Drosophila melanogaster: one gene and its partner. The protein of the gene in region 1 interacts with the protein of each later gene in a pairwise test. Each region holds a gene or a part of one and is shown on either strand. Other genes may lie near its edges. The genes, in order: raw and CG12194.

Evidence for each region.
Region 2: the proteins of raw (region 1) and CG12194 interact in a two-hybrid assay, tested with the Drosophila melanogaster proteins (one large-scale study listed by BioGRID).

The regions. Positions count from the first base shown.
Region 1 is NT_033779.5:8,738,260-8,742,188, forward strand, and holds the start of raw (raw), read right to left. Parts: upstream 2,402-3,929; 5' UTR 2,155-2,401; coding exon of another isoform or gene 2,126-2,154; intron 1-2,125.
Region 2 is NT_033779.5:4,836,041-4,839,969, reverse strand, and holds the start of CG12194 (uncharacterized protein), read right to left. Parts: upstream 1,624-3,929; 5' UTR 1,593-1,623; intron 1,509-1,592; exon of another isoform or gene 1,440-1,508; intron 979-1,439; 5' UTR 668-978; coding exon 460-667; intron 394-459; coding exon 1-393. Other genes in the region: tank, read left to right, coding at 2,354-2,368, 2,437-2,735, 2,813-3,487, 3,726-3,929.

The DNA of each region.
Region 1 (3,929 bases):
TGTGCGAGGAGGGGCAGTGACTTTACGATGACATGGCTAACGACTATTGTATACCCTTGAAACGTAACCTTCTTGCTTCTTAAGCTAATACTATTTAATAATAGCAATTGATTTAGAGAGCATTTTACCTTCGGCTTCAGTTTGAGGAAATTTTATTTATGTTTCTGCCAGCTGATAAGCGGCTGTCGATTGTTTTTTAGGCGCTAACATACGGACAACAATTCAATCAAGTATCCATCACAAACACACGCATTGACAGCCGTGCCCAGATAAGCAAATGGTTGGATAACAAAGGCCTACACAGATAATACCAATCGCAAACACAGGGAAGCATTCGGGTTTGTTTGTATGCGTGAATATTTGCTATAAAGTCGAAAGAAAAAAAGTTTATCGCACGCAAACAAAAACGACCTTCGGTAATGATGCCTTTGTATTTACCTAGCCATATTAATGTCGCGTCGGTTTCTTATTGCCAATTTGCCATTTTAAGGTACAAGTATATTTTCGAAAGCATACACGTTAAGATTCCGTTCTTCTCTTCCTGGGTTTTTATGTGCAACTGCTGCTGCATGATTGTAAATATTTTGGGATTTCATTTTATTTTTCCCTGGCACGCTTATTCATTTCCCGCCTGTTTACATTTTAATTGCTCGGTCAGCACTGGCGTTAAAATTTTTAAATCAAGAAGATCACAAAAGCGTTTTCCCTCGCATTCTCAACATTTGTATCTCTCTTTTTTTCGGTCAGCAAAGTACACCGCATATAGAGTGCCCTACAAAATCTGAGTACTAGTTAAATATTTATTCCAGTGAAATAGACTGATAAAAGGCCAAACAATTAATCTTAATACGCAGAAGTACCGTTCAAGATTGTGGAAAATTTCGAAAATTTTATACGGTGCTCTTAAAACATTCTGAAACAAACTGAAACAAGCGACCTAAAACTTATTTTTAAGTGTATTTATGTTTATAAGCCAAAATAAAATCCTACAAGTTTAAAACATTTTTATTGCTTAGATAATTTATTTACCAAAAAGTTATCACGAATGCAAATATACCTGTGCTGCAGTTACTGCTTCTCCGTAATTGCTTTCTGTTTTGTATAACAACAATAATATTTATTTCATAATATTTACTTTATTTTCCAAACAGTGCATTGTTATTTGGCCGGTAATGTTTACTAATTTGCGTGCTGTTGTCATTGCAAAAAATGTACCAACATGTTACATCTTTGTGCACTTTTGTTTCCGGCTTTGTGACAATTGAGTGCATAAACTTAATTACTGTCAAGATGTCACAACAGCAAGGCAATTGGATGATCGAGTGATATACTATTTGTTTTCAGAGATATAAGGAAACACTATGAAGACTCATTTCATGCTTTATGTGTTCGGGAAATAAAGTTCTTGAACATTTCATGTATACAACACTATTAATTATAGTATTCTCAATTATTCTCTTTTGATTTGTACGTTGTTTACTGCTGGCAGTTTTTTTTTTAAATTTCTTTAAAAATTACGTTTTTTTTTTACCATTCACAACTTTGGCCTCCAACTTAGTGTTTACTCCTTTTCTTGAAAAATGAGGCTAAGAAAGCCTGGGAAAATTACCTACACATCAACAAAGTGTAAACAATGATTTTTGTGAAAATAGACCAAGTTTTTTAACTCGCACACAAAAGCACGGAAATTGGCGAAAGAAACGAATTCAACTAACGGACGAAAAAGCTTAGGTCATTGACCAAAAAAAGAAATAACATTGCAAAGAGCGCTAGACTGCTCAGCTCTCTCTTACTATTTCTCTTTATAGTTCGAACACGTTTTCCAAGTAAAAATCCAACGACGCCACTTTTACCTGCGTTTGTGTGTGTGTGTGCATAGGTGAGTGAGCTCCCCACTCACCTATGCACACACACACGCGAGCGGTACAAAACCATTCTGTTATTTTCCTTGTTTACAAAAGCAACAAAACCAAATTGTTGTTATTGCTTTTGTATTGCTACCAAAGAGGCGCGCTTACGTCATTCATAATATTAAAGCGCAAAGAGAGAGTCTAGAACTACAACAACAGCAATAAGAGCACGAAAGCAATCTGGCACATGCTGTTTTTGTTGGGACTGAAATTACCTGAGGAATAATTTAACCATTTTGTGCATTTTGCGCTCTCTTCTCGACTATTTTGTTTAATCAATTCTTTACGGCAGCTCCATTGTTTTCAGACCGCACTCTCATTTGCGTGGAGCCGATTCACTTGGCACGTTTTAGAAAAAAACAAAACATCCTTTGGTTTATTACTCAGCAAGCATTTGGTTCACTGTTGTCACATTTTAAACAATTAGTTTATTGTATTTGCATTAGGAAACTGTTGGGTTCTCTTTAGATTTCTAAATTCGTCTCTGGTGTGACCAGCTGGTGGAACGGCGAAAATACTATCGAGTATTTGGTAACACTAATGCTTGTACAGAATGTTAACATTTGTGAGTGAATTTTGTAAGTTGGTTAACACCACGTAAAAACTGTGAAACTTATTTAATTAATATATATTATATATTAAAGCATGCTGTCTTTGCAGCAGTGCTGATATCTTTTATAAAAAAACAACTTAAGATGAAAAAGAGGTAAAATATATTGTAAGAGTTCACATTTTCGGTACCTGATTGTTTCCATATACACTTGGGTAAATAAGTACAAAATTCATTTGTCGAGAAAAAGTTACATTGGCACCATTGTATAACAGTTCAAAGTTAATGATGTTTGATGCTGCCAATGTAAATTCTTCAGATAACGAGCCTTGCCATCTTAATAGATTAGGAATACAAGCGTTGCCACCAAAATTTTAACGAACGTATACTCAGTTGTATTCGATGGTTGTTGTCTTGGGTGCATGTAAAAATTAGCAGAAGAGCACTTTTTTGTGTTAAAATTAACATTTCAATAACATTGTAAAATTCTGTTAGGTAACAGTATCACAAATTTAAATCTATGTTATATTTGCTCTGATCTAACTTTTGCAAATTATTCAAGATTATTTTAAAATCCTGACATCGTGGGTATATCTGCATTATTATTAATGAAATGTTGTATTAACAAAATACGGAATGTGGAAATTAGAAAATTTTTTCTTTAAGATAATAGAAAAATTAGTAAAATCTTAATGTTCCCTTTTTAAATGAAAAATGTCTTTTCGAATAGTTCTTATTTACTAAATGTATATAATTTTGATTTGGAAGTGCCACTTCCAAGTGATATCAAGAATTAAGTGCTTGTGGCTAGTCATATCTGAGAAAGTGCATGAAGACTTGTAATACTTTGCCGCCTCTGCTGATTTAAGTATATTTTTAAAAGACAATTAAATGATTTGCCTGCAAGTGTTGCAGTAATGAATGGACCCAGAAGTGTTTGCTTCTTAATTGGCAATTTCCTAATGGCGAAATGCGTTTTGCACCTACTTTAAATGCCACCTTGGCGTATTGTTTTGGCTTAATTTAAATTACCTGTTTGAGTAATGAACAGTCTCAGCCACGGGCTGCAACAATAATAACGCGACTCTCAACTCATTATGCATTGTTTATTGCCACTCAAAGTAGCATTTTCACCCTCTTTCCAGCATTTTCCGAGCACTGCAGCATTACTCTTAATGCATGTGCAACAATAGGAAACTCCACTTCCACTTTTCTTCGCCCACCAACTCTTCTTGTGCACTGATATTTGGCTTTTCGCAGAAACAGTCGGAAAAACAGCAGCCTTTTCCTTAACATTTTCTTGTAAATAAATATCTATTAATAAGAAACTTACATAAATCATTTAAAAGGTGTGTATATATAAAACTATAAATTAAGAATTCGCTATTTATAAATAATTATGAATTGAATAAGTAAATCCCTTAAAATCATTTTGCTAGCAAAAATAGCAATTCAGTTATTGAATGGCC
Region 2 (3,929 bases), 3.9 Mb from region 1:
TGCTGCCGAAACGGGCTACCGACAACTGCAGTCCAAAGACCATGTTAATCTCCTTGCCCTTGAACCATAGCACCGCATAGCTGTTTTGGGCCACAGCCAGCGACTCAGCCCCGATGCCGAAAACAAAGCGTCCCACGATCATCAACCAAAAGTGGCCCAGGACTCCGCCGGTGGCGAAGATCAACTGGCCAACGAGCACGATCAGCATGTAGATAATGGTGCCCAGGCGGATGCCAAACACCCGGTCGATGAGGAAGCCGCCCACAAAGCAGAGCACAATATTTGGCCACGAGTAGATGGAGTAAATCAGCGTGAACTCGGTGGAGCTGAGTTGCAGTTCCTTTTGGAAAACGTCCTGCAGTGCGCCGGGATTATCGTAGCAAAAATAGGAACCTATTAAAGGAGTTATTTAAGTAGGTATGGTCCCAAGTGTTGTTGCAAAGGAATTCACGTTCTTACCAAAACCCAAGAGGCACATAAAGAGCAGGGCGAGGAAGCGATGTGGCGTGCTCGTCGGATCACAGCATCCGGCATCCTTCTGGTGACCGGCTAGCTCTGTGTCCCGAGTGCTGCGTCGCCGCACCACAGGATGCACTTCGTCATCGCTGCTGCTGCAGGTGCTGCTGCTCGACGAGCTAACGATGGGTTTGCGCTCCTCGCGTGACATTATTGCCACTTTTCGTTGACAGAATGATGGAGGGTTGACGGGAAATTTGAGTTGTGCGATGGTAATTGCTATTTGTGGCTGCTCCTCTTTTCCGGAATTCCTGTTCCTCGACCGGTGGTGGGTGGTGGGCGGTAGGCGGGGGGTTGGGGGCGGGCTGTGGCCCTACTGTTGCTGCTTATCACTAGACCACACCATAATTCCGTGTTGTTGTTGTTGCTGCTGTTGCCTCAGTATTTGTGCAGTATTGATTATTCCCGCACACAGAGATGATGGAAATTGGAAAGGTTGGAATGGGGGGTGTTTCGGTTAATCTGCAAAAAAGCCAAGATTGAAAATTGCATTCCCACACACACAAAACATTTTACGCCCTCTCTCACACACACACACTCATACACATGCAGATGCAGGTATGTACATATATGTCACGGGTGGGTGTGCGTTAGTGTGTGCTTGCTAGGTAAACATGAAAGATCTCGTTGTCCGTTGGCTGACTAACGGTTAATGGGTAATCAATTAAGCGCTTGCATGCGCATAACATTTAGTTGACACCTGATTTAAGGCTTTACTACGCTATTTGCGTATTGAAAGCAGCTCTACTGTGGTATAAATTCGATATGTACACACACCCACGTCAATAAATAGGCATATGTAAATGCCGTATATCAACAACAAAAAAAAGGGATTAACAAGCAAATGCCCCGTTATCGCAGTCAACAAACGAAGTCACACACTAATTAATCACTAGTCCACGGTCTTATTTTGCATTATTTACATTCGATATTTTCGAATTGCGATTGTGGCGGGCTTACGATCCAGGAAAACTTTACTTAATATTTCTTGATGTATTTATGTTGATTATCAACAATGTATTGTGATGAGAAAGTCCTATCACGCCTACTATATGTTCAACAAGTCGTGGACTTACGGTTTATTTCTGTCCCCTGTCGGGAGAAGAATGGTCGGTATTACCTGGTTTCCCTACCTGTAGCTGTAGAAATGGAAGTGGGCATTGAGCTCTTGATATCGATATATCGATTACCTTGGGAATATCCTTACGAAAAACCGTTACTATCATTACGTTTTAACGGATTTGCGAAACATAAGCACTTGCTAAAAAAGTTTGCTTCGATTTATTAAGAATATCAAATGGATTACCAAACACATTCGTATGAGATGCAGAAAAATAAAACTATTTATTCGTCACCATTGAAAACCACAACAATTTATTGTCTTATAATAACGGTAAAATTCATAACTATCGATAGTTAACAACACTGCCCGCCTGTGCATCACTGACCAGTGCTGCAAAACGACCGCAGCGCATCAGGTGGCAACCGTGTGTTCCTACACCAAGCAAAACAACTATTTTATTATTAAATTCAGCACAAAGTTCAATGATTATTAGGTCCTCTGCACACTCACTATTCGATCAGCAAGCACTGGCACAGCGATAAGTATGTAAGTTAAAGTTTCAAAATGGTACAAAGCCAACCAAATGTGCGGGCGCACGCTATTTTGTGCAGTGTAAAGGCGCCAACGATGTTGTCTTCGTCTCGCACAACGCAAATTTATTCAAAGACCCACTGCCACATTTTGATACGCTCCCGAGCAGCTAAACACGTTTCGTATGCTTGCATGTCCATTTCGTAATGCCCCCGATCAGGAACTAAGGTCTGTCCACCCGAGATGGCGGCGATAAAGGTGAGTTTGCGACTGCCCTTTTGGAGCACACAGACAATGGCCCAACTAAATGCGTTGTACAACCACAGAACATCACCCTGGGCATTCTGTACGGCCTGTGGGACAGCATACGTGGCATGACACTGGTCCTGCACATCGACGACGAGGTGAACCGCCAGAATGCCGAGCAGGAGCACCGCCAACAGCTGCGTCGCACCGACAAGGATCGTTACGAACGCGCCAGGAGATCACCGTCACCAGTGCCCAGTTCCGCGGCTGCCATGATTCGGGAGGAGTATGCCAAGCAGGCGGAGGAGAACGCCGACGAGCGGACGCTAGAGAAGATCCTGGGCAAGAAGCCAGCCGCCCAGGATCAACACCCGCAGGGGTATGTGTTACACAAAGACTCATTCCACGTACATGTAATTTTAAACTGCGCACTTGATTTTTAATCCGGCGACACAGGGAGAAGAAGATCGCCAAGAAGCTGTTCAAGTGCTGCATGCTCAATGGCGGTTTCACCTGGCTGAGCATCGTCCTGTTCGAGAACGCTCTGCTGCCCACGCTCAAATTCTGCCTTACCATCTTCTATGGAGCCCATTCCGAGACCCTGCCGGTGGTTTGGGGCTGGCTGCATCCCATACTGTCCCTGCTCTTCGGCATGATGTGGGTGCTGCCCATATTCATGCTCTCCAAGATTGTGAGCTCTCTGTGGTTCGCGGACATAGCCAATGCCGCGTATCGCGTGAGAAAGGGTCGCCCGCAGCTAATCCCTGGAATTAGCAAACTGGTGGCCGACTTCCTATTCAGCATGGTGGTGCAAATGCTGTTCCTGGTACAGAGCATGCTGGTTAACCTAGTGCCTGTGAAATATGTGGGCTCCTCGCTGTGCTTCGTGCATCTGTGCCTGCTCTACTCACTGTACTCCTTCGAGTACAAGTGGTTCAACATGGGCTGGGAGCTACATAGACGACTCACGTACATTGAAAAGAACTGGCCCTATTTCTTCGGCTTCGGAATACCGCTCACCGTGCTGACAAATCTGTCCAGCTCGGTGATCGTCAGTAGCTGCATCTTCTCCATCTTTTTTCCCCTGTTCATACTCAGCGGCAATGAGGCAAAACCCATTGTGGACACCACGTAAGTGTTTTTGGTTTGGTAACACAGTCCAGCTTCACTAAATCGAACTTCTGGAAAATGTAAACTGGAAAGTGATGTAGTTCATGTTCAAACTATCACGCAATTTTAGTTGGACGTCTTCATGTAATGTAATGTAATTCGTTTTTCCTTTGTTCGTGACCAGCACGTATCGATTTAGAGAAGCTCTTCTGTACTATATCTATAAATATAAATAACTAAATATTTGACATCCACCCAGTGAGGTCTCCCTGCGTCTCTTCTCGCCGGTGGTCTTCATATCGAACCTCTGCTTCGGCGGCAATCCGTGGAGCAAGGCCAATCGACTGAGTGCCATGCAGCGGCAGCAGTATGAGCTGCAGCAGCGACAGCGTTTGCTCCAGCGGGACGAGCAACTGCTCAAGCAGCGCAAGCAGCAATATGTGCAGCAGCAACGGCTGCAACA